3 linked regions of the Canis lupus familiaris genome follow. Each later gene encodes a partner of the first gene's protein in a complex. Links are inferred from orthologs where the notes say so. Each region holds a gene or a part of one and is shown on either strand. Other genes may lie near its edges.

The links.
Region 2: the proteins of CSK (region 1) and PAG1 are in contact, whole or in part, in an NMR structure (PDB 2RSY), measured with the Rattus norvegicus proteins. The link is inferred for Canis lupus familiaris from reciprocal best matches to the Homo sapiens genes CSK and PAG1. Residues at the interface, in NP_001025210.1 of Rattus norvegicus: Thr88, Arg89, Glu93, Arg107, Ser109, Thr110, Asn111, Tyr112, Thr117, Cys122, Glu123, Lys125, Val126, Glu127, His128, Tyr129, Arg130, Ile140, Asp141, Tyr156, Asp161, Gly162; in NP_071589.1 of Rattus norvegicus: Phe291, Ser292, Leu294, Tyr296, Lys297, Ser298, Arg299, Glu300, Glu301, Leu305, Ile310, Met313, Tyr314, Ser315, Ser316, Val317, Asn318, Lys319.
Region 3: the proteins of CSK (region 1) and PTPN22 are in contact, whole or in part, in an NMR structure (PDB 1JEG), measured with the Mus musculus proteins. The link is inferred for Canis lupus familiaris from reciprocal best matches to the Homo sapiens genes CSK and PTPN22. Residues at the interface, in NP_001291690.1 of Mus musculus: Phe20, Thr23, Gln26, Ala40, Val41, Thr42, Lys43, Asp44, Asn46, Trp47, Ile59, Pro61, Asn63, Tyr64; in NP_033005.1 of Mus musculus: Pro614, Pro615, Leu616, Pro617, Glu618, Arg619, Thr620, Glu622, Ser623, Phe624, Ile625, Val626, Val627.

Annotation. Positions count from the first base shown.
Region 1 is NC_049251.1:38,289,626-38,293,918, forward strand, and holds the start of CSK (tyrosine-protein kinase CSK), read left to right. Parts: upstream 1-1,493; 5' UTR 1,494-1,571; intron 1,572-2,216; exon of another isoform or gene 2,217-2,509; intron 2,510-4,293. UniProt on the Homo sapiens protein: Non-receptor tyrosine-protein kinase that plays an important role in the regulation of cell growth, differentiation, migration and immune response.
Region 2 is NC_049250.1:28,910,271-28,914,271, reverse strand, and holds the start of PAG1 (phosphoprotein associated with glycosphingolipid-enriched microdomains 1), read left to right. Parts: upstream 1-1,201; 5' UTR 1,202-1,323; intron 1,324-4,001. UniProt on the Homo sapiens protein: Negatively regulates TCR (T-cell antigen receptor)-mediated signaling in T-cells and FCER1 (high affinity immunoglobulin epsilon receptor)-mediated signaling in mast cells.
Region 3 is NC_049238.1:52,206,518-52,210,664, reverse strand, and holds the start of PTPN22 (tyrosine-protein phosphatase non-receptor type 22), read left to right. Parts: upstream 1-1,347; 5' UTR 1,348-1,489; coding exon 1,490-1,576; intron 1,577-4,147. UniProt on the Homo sapiens protein: Acts as a negative regulator of T-cell receptor (TCR) signaling by direct dephosphorylation of the Src family kinases LCK and FYN, ITAMs of the TCRz/CD3 complex, as well as ZAP70, VAV, VCP and other key signaling molecules.

The DNA of each region.
Region 1 (4,293 bases):
GTCTCCCCTCCGTCACTGACCACCTCCCCAACACACACACACACAACCACACACACTGTCTGCTCCTGTCGCTCAGAGCAGACCACGTTCCTGCTCCTCATTGACTAGGACATGTCACGGCGGTGCTTGACCCAGCGCCGATCACGTGCCAACTACTGCACACTAAGCACTTTACATGACTTAACTCATTTCCTCACCACAAAAACCTTAAGAAATGGGTGCTCTTATTTCCCCCATTTTACCAAATGGGAAAAACCGTAGCACAGAGGGTTTAGGTAACTTTCCCAAGGTCCCACAGCTGCCGACCACAACCTCATTGCCTCCAGGCTGAAAATAAAGTCCAAGGAAGTCCCACAAGGTTCCTTGCTTGGATCTCTTGTCCCCGCAGCTTGCAGAGACCTGTCCTGAAGCCCCACTGCCAGCTGCAGCCCTACTGAGCTCTTTAGGCTTCCCGGAGCCCTCGAGGGTTCCCCCCATGCCCTACCCTTGTCCACGCGGTTCCCCCACCTGGGGTCCCAGTTCTATTAAGTCCTCCCATCCGCCGGCCCCTCTTTTCTGCCTTCCCGGACCTCGTCCCCCGGCTCTCGGTGTCTCTGCCCCGGGCTGCCGGCCCGTCCGTTATCCCGCCGAGGCCCGCGACGGGGAGGAGGGCCGGCCGCTCCCGGAGGCTGCACGGCAGGGCCAGGAGCCGGCGAATGAATGAGTGAGCGAACGGATGCCTGCTCGCGGCTGCCAGCGAGGCCCCGTGTCTGCGGCCGGGTCGGGGGAGGGCGGCCGAGGCCCGGCCTCAGTGGCTCCGGCGCGGGGCCCGAGCCGGGAGCCGGCGGGGTTGCCCCGGGAGGGCGCGGGGCGCGGCGGGGGCAGGGCAGGGCAGGGCAGGGCAGGGCAGGGCAGCGCAGCGCAGGGCGCGGACACACCCCCTGCAGTGCCCCCGGCGCCCGGCAGGGGGCGCCGCCCCGCCCCCGCCCCGCCGCCCCGGGCAGGCCCCTCGCGCAGGCGCGCTGCGGCGGGCGGAGGATCCGGGCCGCGCTTCCTCTCGCCAGGCCTGCGAGCTTCCTCCCGGCGGAGCCCCGGGCGAGCCCAGCGTGTCCGCCGCCGCCCCCCGCCCGCGCCCGCCCGCCCGGGGGCCCGCGGGGAGGGGTCCGAGCGGGGCGCCCCCGCCGTCGGGGCCGCGTCCCGGCCAGCCCGCGGCCGCCAGACCCCGCCCGGCCCTGCAGCGCGGGAGCCCGCCGCCCCGACCCCGGCCCCGGCCCCGGCCCCGGCCCCGGCTCCCCGCCCCGGCCCCGGCTCCCCGCCCCGGCCCGGCCGCCACGTCCCCGCCCCGGCCCGGCCCCGGCCCCGGCCCGGCCCGGCCGCGCTCGGAAGCGGAACTCTGCGGGGCCGCGCGGCTACATTGTTTCCTCCCGCCGCCCCCGCCCCCGCCCCCGCCCCCCCGGCCGCCGCCGCCGCCGCCGCCGCTTTGTACCGCGCCCCCGGGGACCCCGCGCCCTCCGCGCCCCGGCCGCGTGCGCCGCCCCGCAGCCCGCTGATGCTGCCCGCCGCGGGGTGGCCGGACCGCAGCGCCCCGAGAGGTGAGTGCGGGCGGGGTCTGGGGGAGGGGGCGGCCGGGGGCCGGGGCAGGTCGCGCCTCCCGCCCGCCCGGCCCGGGGCGCCGCGCTCGCGTCCCCCCGCCCTGACCCCCGCCTTCCCGGTTTGAATTCTCCCGGGAGCCGCTGTCAGCCCGACGGGGGGGGGGGGGGGCCGGAGGTGCTGCCCGGGAGCCCCACGGACCCCTGCCCTCCTGGCCCCGCCTGGCAGGGCCGGCTGGAGCCCCAGGGAGCCCCAGGGAGCCCCGAGGGGGTCGGCGGGAGCCCCCAGGCCCTGGACCTGCCCGGCCCTCCGCGCGGGCCCGGCCTGCCCCCTTCCGAACCCCCTCCCCGCCGGGGCCGAGGCTCAGGAGGCCCAGGGCCCGAGCACCTCCTTGATCTTGCAGGAGGTTCAGCCTGTCCCCCTCCCAGACGGCCAGGCCTCAGCCGAGAGACCTGTGACCCTTGGGTGGAGACACTGGGCAGATCCTCTGTGTGTGGGGATGTGACACCGGGCCCTGGGACGGTGCCCCCCCTCCCTGCAGCCCGGTCATCTCATTCTCCCAGACGCCTCGAGGCCCAGGCCCCGTGTCAGGAAGAGGCGTGTCCGGCCACCAGATCCTTGGTGGTTAACTTAGGGGTTCACCTCCCCTCGGCGTTTTGTGGACCAGGAAACTGAGGCTCAAAGTGGGAAGTTGCCACCCCAGGTCTCCGCCAGGGTCCGGCCGTCCTTCCAGGCTCCGCTCCGCGGAGCAGGACTGCTGTAGATGGAGGGAAGGCAGGCAGGTGCCTTCTCCCACCAAGGACCCAGGCCCCCAGCCTGACCCGGGGGACCTTGTGGGTGAGCACGTGCTTCCCTCCAGAGGGCTTCCGGCCCCAGCGCTGCCCGGCTCTGGGCTCAGGCCGTGTCGCACTGCCCACGGGATTTCCCCTTGGTGCCTGAGGTGGGTGCTGCTGACAGGGGATGTGGCGGGAGGGGGGCACCTTGTCTGGTGTGGCCACGGCACAGAGTGGAAACAGCCTGGCAGTCAGTCCCGACCCAGGCCTCCCACACACTGGGCCCAGCTGCCCCAGGAGCAGCCAAGTCCAGAACACGAATGGGGTCCAGACAGGGAAGGGGAGAGCCCCGCTTCCACAGCCGTGGTGGAGCAGCGTGGCCAGTGGGCACACACAGCGGGCCCGTTCCAAGCTCCCCACGCTTTGGTGGTTCCAGCATCTTTCTTGATGGGGCCCCAGCAGTAACGGGGCAGAGGCAGCACAAGGAAGGCTGGGAGGGTGGCAGGGTCCTCTTGCTCCCTGGAGGGTAGGAGGTTCCCTGGAGGCTGTTGAGCTCTGTCTGGGCCCCCGTGGGGCCGTTGGTAGTTTTGTCCTGCTCCAGACTCTGCCCGTGATGTAGTGTTTTTCCAGTTGCCCCGCCATGCACAGCGAAGGGGACCCAGAAGTGGTGGGCCTGTGAGGCGCCCCACACCCGGCCCTAACTTCCTTTCCGGCCTGAGGGCCTGGGACTGAGGCCTGAAGATCGGGCACTTTTATGCCAACTGTGAGCTATGTGGATGCGGCCCCAGGGTCCCCAGGCCTTGGCAGAAAAGGGTCTGGCGTCCGGCCAGCGCACGTGTGGAGATGTGTTTCTTATCTGGTGAGCTTGTTGCCTTCCCCCCTTGCAGAAGTGGCTGCTCTTCTTTCTGCGTCGGGTCAGGGGCAAGGAAGGACCACATGATAGTCTCCGGGGCTGCTACAGGGGGCACCAGGGCCCAAGAGGTTGAGCCACCGTGAGCAGACCGGGGTACAGGTGGGGCTAAGGCCCAGGGGTCACAGTGCATGATGCAGCCGCCCGAACAAGCTGCCAGCTGGCCTCATGGGGGAGAACGGCCTGGGTCCAGTTCTGGGCTCTATTTTTTGAGGCCTCTTGAAGCCCCGACACAGAGTTCCCAAAGAAAGAGTTTGGTCCAGGAAAGAGAAGGTAGGGAGGGACGGCTGGGTGGCTTAGTGGCTGGACGTCTACCTTCGGCTCAGGTGTGATCCCAGAGTCCCGGGATCGAGTCCCTCCCTGCAGGGAGCCTGCTTCTCTCTCTGCCTGTGTCTCTGCCTCTCTCTCTGTGTCTCTCATGAATAAATAAATATCTTTAAAAAAATAGAGAATGTAAGGAGGGCCCTGCAGGTGCCCAAGGGGCTGTTCCAAATCAGAAAGGCCGTCCCTCCGTGGAAGACGTCCCGGACGTCAGGGCCAGATCTGGGGGGGGCAGTCAGGTCCCAGGGGAAGCAAGTCTGAGCTCAGGAGAAAACTATGTGATGCTTTCTTTTTTTCCTTTTTTTTTTTTTTAAAGATTTTATTTATTAATGAGAGACACAGAGAGAGAGGCAGAGGGTGAAGCAGGCTCCATGCAGGGAGCCTGATGCGGGACTCGATCCCGGGTCTCCAGGATGGCACCCTGGGCCTAAGGCAGCACTAAACCGGTAGGGCCACCCGGGCTGCCCTATATGCTTGTTTGTTTGTTTCTTTCTTTCTTTCTTTTTTTTAAATTTTTTTTTAAATTTATTTATGATAGTCACAGAGAGAGAGAGAGAGGCAGAGACACAGGCAGAGGGAGAAGCAGGCTCCATGCACCGGGAGCCCGATGTGGGATTCGATCCCGGGTCTCCAGGATCGCGCCCTGGGCCAAAGGCAGGCGCCAAACCGCTGCGCCACCCAGGGATCCCCCTATCTGCTACTTTCTTAATGCAGAGAGTA
Region 2 (4,001 bases), on another chromosome or scaffold:
CTAGAGCACAGCACTGGCATCAACTGGGATCGTGTTAGGAATGAAGGATCTTCCCTTAACGCCTAGGCCTAGTGAGTCAGAAATCTGCATTCTTTCAAAATGCTCAGAAGATTCTGACAAACGCTACAGCTTTGAAAAACCTCTGCTGTTTGTACCCCGGTATCATCTGGAAAGCTTTACAACCTTACTGATACCCGAGCCTCACCCAGGGATTCTCCGGTACTTAAGTCTGGACTCCAGGGGTGCGGTCAGGGCAAAGGGCTCCCACCAGCTTCCCAAGTCATTCTGTAATGTACAGCCAGGTGGGGAGGACCCCTGTCCCCTCAGTGGCAGGCCCTCACGATTAAGCTATACCTGAGCTAACGTGGCTCTTCGGGGCTTGCCCAGCGCCCTGGGGACCCCTGAGAGCACACGGGGCGGGGTGGGGGGTCAAGGACAATGGACTCTGCAGACAAGTTCAACCTCGCGGCTCCAGGGCTCGCAGAACCCCGAGGCGGAGACTTCCTGCGCCTCCCCGCTAGGGAGCGGAGCGGGGCGCGGCGCCAGGCCCCCCCCCGCCCCCGCCCCGGCCCCGCCCAGCGCGCCCCCTCCCCGCCCTCCCCTCCCTCCCTCCCGCCCTCCCCTCCCTCCCCTCCCTCCCCGCCCTCCCCCTCCCCCGTGACGTGCCGCAGCCGGCCGGGATCATGCGCACTGGCGCCCCGCGCCCCGCACGGCTGCTCCGCCTCGGCGCCTGTCATTCTCCGCGGCGCGGCGGCGAGTGCGGACTGCGGTGCTGCGCGCGCGATGTGACCGGCCGCCCGGGAGCCCCCCGGAGGCTCTGCGGGGCACGGCGCCTCGGCTCTCCCGGTGCCGCGGTCCTCGCCGAGCGGCCGTTCGCTCGGAGCCGGAGACACGCGCCGGGGGCTCGGAGCGCCGCGCTCCGGGGTCGGCGGCGCCTGCAGCTCTGCAGCTCCGGGTCCGCGCGGCCGGTGCCGCCGCAGCCGCCGCGCCCTGGCCAGTGCCCCCGGCCCCGGGCGCGGCGGAGCGAGGCGGCTGGTGCAGAGCGGCGGCGCCTAGCCGTGCAGCCGAGCAGCCGAGCAGCCAAGCAGCCGTGCAGCCGAGCAGCCGTGCAGCCGAGCAGCCGAGCAGCCGTGCAGCCGAGCAGCCGTGCAGCCGAGCAGCCGAGCAGCCGTGCAGCCGTGCAGCCGTGCAGCCGAGCAGCCGTGCAGCCGAGCAGCCGAGCAGCCGTGCAGCCGCCCGGGCGGTGCGGGGCCAGCGGGGTTGCGCGCAGCCGAGCGCGGTCCCCCCGCCCCACCCCGGAGGGCTCCCGGTCTCCGCGTCCCGGTAAGTTGACTGTAGTTTCTGAAGTTGCAGGGAGCCGTGCGGAGGGGAGGTGCGTTGGCATGATCGTTTTTGCATGAAGCTGGGGGTGGCCCCCGTGTGTTAGGGGCCGCGCTCGGGCTCGGGGAGGTCGGGGTGCGGAGAAGCGGACCCGGCGCGCGGGGAGAGGACGAGTGTGCGGGTTGGAAACGTGCTGCGGGAGGACAGGTGCTCCCAGGGCGCTTCGCCTGCCGCTGACTGCACGTTCCGAGCTCCTGGACCGCGTTTGGCGGTGGAGGGAGCGTGCGGGGTCGCGTTACCTCTCTCCTGAGCCCTCGGGGGAGTGACCCCTGGACGCGATGGGTCTTTGGGGACGGCAGCCAGCCAGTCCTTGGGGCTTCGCGCGCATCCCACTCCGCTCTTCCCGTAGGCAGAAGTTGCCAGCGTCTCCCTCATTGGAGCCCAGGCGTTTAGGGAGAAAACAAGTTGTTAAGTCAACACGGCGTTTTGTGCCATCAGGCAAATAAAATGAGAAATCCGTCCATCGTCTGTGATTTCGTACATTTCAAGAATGTGGGCAAGTCTCAAAGAAATAGGATTTGGATGATGACACTTGGGTTTCACCCTGCCGGCCCTGCGCCTCTTATATAAGCCTCCCGGCGGGATAACCGTCTCTGCAGTGGCTGCAGCTGTGGCTCTCCCTTCCATTTGTTTAAGGTCCAGCTTGAACAGTATTTAATGAAAATGCTGACATGATATAGCGTTCTTGTAGTCTGAAACAGAGGGCACTCTTCAAATTGGAGTGTCTTCTCCTAGTAGGTAGCATGCGAGGAAGAACCCAGTATATTTTTCAAGGCAGCTCCAGGAATTAGACACATAAATCATGTTTTAAAATAGCGTGCATTGTGCAGAGAGCTTGCAGAGGACCCTTTTTGAACACATCCTCTTTGTTTTAGAAAAAGTGGGAATTGTTCATCCCAGACATTTGTTGAGTCTGAAAGTTAAGTGTACTACTGGTGGGCTTAATTATCTTAATAAAAAAAGAGTATGATTTATGGGTAGCTGTCCTGTCCTGCTTTGAAGGATAGAATTCTAGAACCTTTCTTTTTCATCTGTCCCCTAGAGATTCCCATTAAGTAGAGCAATACATTATCATCATTGATGTTTATTTAATATTTGAGTCAATTAAATTCGTAAAAAGAACACTTTGAAATAAATATGGTATTGCTATGACTTAAGACTGAAGATTCGAAATGAGAATTTTCAGGTTATTTGCTATCAGAGTCATTAGTTTAATGAAACAGCATTAAGCTGTTAATGTTTAACAGCATTAAACACACATCCTATATGTGTGTGAAGGTATATATACATATATATTTGTTTAAATTTGGATTTATAATAAATGTTTAAACCAAACTCAGGGATGTGTCTTAATGTAAGATTTATCTAGGCAATCTTGAGAAAGAGAAGTGCTTTTATTTATGGCATTCCAACACATAGAACAAGATGAGCTAGTTATAGGCCCTGCATTTAAAAACAAATCATAGGTTTTTGAAGAATTCTAGAAAAATATTAAAATGTTATTCCAGAGGCTGAAAAGTTAGTCAACACATTGTGGTTTGTGAGAGCGTCCATTGCTTATGTCTAGAAGAGAATAGATCCAAGCATGGAATGTCGAACAGACTCACCCCCATCAGCACTGTTGCCTTATGGTTAGGAGGGTAGACAGACAGCTCAGCGCCTGACTTGCTTACCATCTGTTTTTAATCTGGGCAAATTAGCTAAACTCCTGCCTCAGTGTCTTCATCTATAAAATGGGGGATGACAGTAGTACGTACCTCACGGGATTATGATGAGGATTAAGTGAGTTCATAGCTGTAAAGCTGTTGAGCCAGTGTCTGGCACGTTAGACTGATAAAATCATCATTACTATGAAAGGGAAATGCATCTTTGGATAACAGGGACATTGGACGGCTGCTTGCTGATGGAGGTTAATGGAAGCAGGTCACATGTATAACAGAAGAGAGAATATGAACATTTATTAAACACTTTCTAGTGATGCACACCAGCTGCTATTTAATTTACTGTCTCCCTCAATTCTTCACTGGGGTGGGTGGTTTCCTCTCCACTTGGGTGATGAGGAACTGAAGCTCAGTGAGATCAGATCGAGTTGGGATTTTAACTGGTTTCTTTCAAATCCTCTCCCTTTTGACCTTGCTGCTTCAACTTGCAAAGTACTTTTTCCATCTATTCTCCTTTAATCCTCATAGTAATAAGATATGTGTATTATTATCTTCAGTTTACAGATAAGGAAATTCAAGTTAAGCATTAAAGTATGCAAAGTGCTTACCAGGACTCACAACATAGTTCTCCAAGACTGGGAGTTATTATTATTACCATAATTATTATTAAATAACTTGCTTGGCCTAGCACAAGGTAGATGTGCAAGGGGGTGAAGTACATTTTCTCCTTTACTTTCAAGTGGATGCCATTGCTTTTTACTTCCCTGTTCATATATTCAGAGAATCAAGGGGGTAAAAGTGATATGTGACAGTTCACATTGGAGGACGGTGCTCTCTGGTTTGTTTCCTGCCTGCAGATGTGGCTGCAGTGACCCACATGGCCTAGAAAACCAGCACAGGCAGCTGTCATCTCCATCCACAAAGAGCATCATACCTGAGCATGAATTCAGTCCCAGCTGG
Region 3 (4,147 bases), on another chromosome or scaffold:
TTAATGCCAGATGGGGCTAACTGGGGAAATACTATCCTATTCTCAACAAATATTATTGAAGAATTATGCTTAATTTTAATTTATTATGTGGCTCTGGATTGAAATTCTTTATTGGCCTCACCTGCCTATAGCAGGATCCCTCAAAGACTGTTCCTTTCCTGTTGTGAGGAAAATAAAGTGGATGCAGCTTCATAGTGTTTGGAATCATAATTTCCTAAAGGAAGTTTGAATAATGCAAAACAGAAAGGATTGCTAATATCTTAAATAGAGGAAGCTCTAATGGCACATTTCCCGGTTTCCTTTGGTATTATTTCAGGCTAATTTTGCTAACATTTATGGAACTCCTGTCCTCAAGCAGAGATGATATGCTGATTTTGGCTTGCACTTACTCTGTATGAGACAGTCTTAGGTAGGTTTGTACTCGCTGAGGAGAGGATTTATTCAAGCTGAGATATGGAAGCTTTTTTCTAGAACAGCCTGCCTGTCAAACAAGCCAAAATGCCATGTGTACAGTGTGGCCTCCTGAAGCAATGGCCTTTTCCAAAGCACTCTTTGGGAAAGTAGAGATGTCTTCTCTAGACCTGGAAAGCTACTGTTGCCAGCAAGGTAGTCGATTTTACTCTTTCTTCTGTTCCTTATAGTTAACTAGTATTGGATACAGAGGATATTGGGCCAACTTCCTCATCAGGTGCTCTTCGTGGGGCGGGGTCACACTATTCTCCTGGCTCCTGTACAGTCCTGAGATCAACAACACTTCCCTTAAGCAGGTCGGCACTTCCCCAGCCCTGGGGAGAGATACAGACTGTCAGAAGCAGCTGACTTTGCTTCATCCAAAAGAGAATTTGAGGTCTGTCTGGCAGGCTTAAAACTTCTGAATAAAAATGCCTTGTCTGATGAACAGAAATTTGCCACTGATCACGTGGACAAAGAACTTTGGGGAGAACGGTACAGGTGGAAGATGTCTTAACTCCATACAGTGCCTATCTCCCTTTCTGACACTAATTTTTCTGAGTTCATCTGGGACCTGAAGAAACAGAAAGTATTAGCAGGACCTCTGTGTTCGTGGAGGAACTGGGGAGAAGCAGACCCCAGCCATGAGAACTGGCCTTCTGCCTTTTCTCTAGGAAACAAGAAAAAAAAAGGTGAATCTTGCTTAAAGATGATGAAGTGGAAGAGTCTCAGAGCTAAGCAGACCATGTGTTATGTTCTGGTTAGCCTCTTGTTTGTTAAAACTTGAACTGTAAACCAGGTTCCTTCCTTGAGAAGGGAGGCACTAGGGCCCTGGAGTGATGGTGGCTTTGTTGTGTGACCACAGAGGCTGGTTGCGTACTAATTTCCTCTAGGGCTTGTGACGAAGTCAGTTAACCACAGCCTTCAACATGCTCTGCTCTGGCAGCAGCAGTGGCTTCTTGGTGGTATCTCGGCCATGACATACATTTGACATGCCCTCCCTTAACCCGCTGGTAGACAGCTTCTCTTGGCCTGCAGCATGGACCAAAGGGAAATTCTGCACAAGTTCCTGGATGAGGCCCAAAACAAGAAATCTAGCAAAGAGGAGTTTGCTGATGAATTTCTGGTGAGTCCTATGTGTGACACTCTCAAGGTAGTTACACAGACTGCTTAATTGATGAGGATGGTCCAACTGTCCTAGACCAAATTGCTCTTGGGATAAAAAGTGAATGTCAGACCTTGCAGGGGAAGAAGGGAGAGAGGCAAAACCAGAAGCTCGACTTTTCTCAGTGGCTTGTGTGTTTTTCTCTTGAAAAAACTATTTCAAATGTTGGTTGCTAGTTCTCAGGAGTTTGGCCAGGATTCCTGTGGAAGGCTTACACAATTCCAGGTGTATAAGTACTCATATTAATTGACCATCTGGAGTTCCCAGGTACCTGAATTGAGTTGTGGTTGATGCTTCAAATGACTACTTTTATTTTATTTTATTTTTAAAGATTTTATTTATTTATCCATGAGAGACAGAGAGAGAGAGGCAGAGACACAGGCAGAGGGAGAAGCAGGCTCCATGCAGGGAGCCTAATGCGGGACTCAGTCCCAGGTCTCCAGGATCACACCCTGGCCTGAAGGCAGGCACTAAACTGCTAAACCACCCAGGCTGCTCTCAAATGACTACTTTTAATTAATATTAAGAGGAAAGAAACCAAGATTAACTTTTCATGGAACATGATGTTTTAGCCTCCCCATGGAATCCCATTTGGATGACAAAGGTTCTTGAGGAGCACTGAAACTACCTCCTGTCATATTTCTTTATTTCTTCTTTTATTTTTCTTCTGAGAAGAAAAATGAGCACATGTGTTTTTGTACTAACAGGGTTTCCTTAAGCTTCTTTTGCTTGGAGGGGTGGAATAACAGGGATGGGGGAGTAGACACAAGTGAGGGGTATGGAGACAAATATAAGTGCCAGGTAGCCTAGGGCCAACTAGATCTGACCATCCAGGAAAACACTGCTTCTCTTCTGAGGAGACTGTGGTGACTGATGTGTCAGCAGCTGGGTAGGCCTCATTTGTCCTATAACCTAGCATATCAGAGGACATAGGCTATCTGATAGTGCCTACTATGTATTTTGGAATACCTCCAGCTGGTGTTTCGGGGCTATAAGAACTCGAAGCCTTCGGTCTTCAGCTGTGAATAAGTAGGAAAAACAAGAGAGTTGAAGCAGAAAATCTGAAATCAAATCATGATTCTCTTTCTTTGACATGTTCCTTAATTTCCCCATGTCTTTGTTTTCTAACTTCCAAAATGAGGATGATAATCCATGTCCTACCTGTCTTCACAGGTTGTTGTGATGATTAAATATCAATAATAATTAAAAGTGTTCATTCATTCAGTAATATTTATTGAGCATCTACTGTATACCAAGTTTGGTTCTAGGCACTGAAGATACAGCCATGAACAAGACCAAACTTCTGTGCTCATGGACCTAATATTCTGGCACCCGATAGTAGATATGAAAGCACTCAGTAAAGTCTTGAGTGATTAGATATTATGACTGAGTGATTATATGTTGTGAGAGAAGCCCCTATGTCAACTCAACTTGGGTAATATTGGGGCATCGTGAAAAATGTACTCTCATCGCCACTGGCCAGGCAGTGAGTCCCTCTGAGTAGACCTACCAGGGAGGGAAGCAAGGAGAAGTCCTGACCTACGTGTCTGTTTAGATATGTGCCTCCCCCTGGGCTATACTCCAGAGCCAAATTCACCCAACACATAGAGGTAAAAAGTGACCTGAGGAGGTAGGGCCAGCCTCTGTCTTATTCCAGTTGTGTTTTTAAAAATAATATAGACTACATCCCCAATATTGTACCTTTTCTTACCTCAGTCATTATAAACTCCCACCAAATTATGGAAGTCACCTAACCTCCTGTTTTCTCTGCCTCTAGACTTGTCCCACCTTCAATCAATTTTCCATTCAGTACCCAACTGATCTAATAACCACAGACCTGGCCATTTCCCCCTGCTTAAAAACATTGTATAGTTCTTTTTTTCAGCTGTTTAAAACTGTGAAATATAATACATAGTTATAAAGCTACATACAACATGTGTAAGTATAATTATAAAGCCACCACCATCAAGGTCACGGACCAGAACATTCTTGGACTTAGGAAGACCTCTGTATATCACTTCTCTGGCCGACCTTGCACCCCACTCCCATCCCCCACCCCCATCATGTCCTGATCTGCTCTGCCCAAGGAATAATCACTATCCTGACTTTTGTATTAATCACTTCCTTGCTTTCCTAGCTCTTGGTTTCAAGGACCTTGTTTTTGGATGGTGATTAAGTGGAACCTCACTGTTCATTGACTCACGTCCTCCAGTGGAAAAACAGAGTCTTGCCCTCAGTCCCACCTAACGGTTCAGCTGAGATATCGGAGACATTCATTTTGGGGGAGTTGGGTAGTGGTGAACAGGGCTAGATTGCTTGCCGGGACAAGATCAATACTGCTGTTAACTTGAAGGGCTTTCCATCTGGTCCTGTTCCCTACCCCTCCTTAAGCCCTTTCATCTATTCTCCCAAGATTTGATTTTTGAGGTTGGAGGACTGATTCTGTGACACAAGGCCACTGTTAGCCTAAATGGTAGAGACTTTGTGGGAATTCTAGAAAATCACCTCTGGTTCCAGGTAGACCATCTGTGT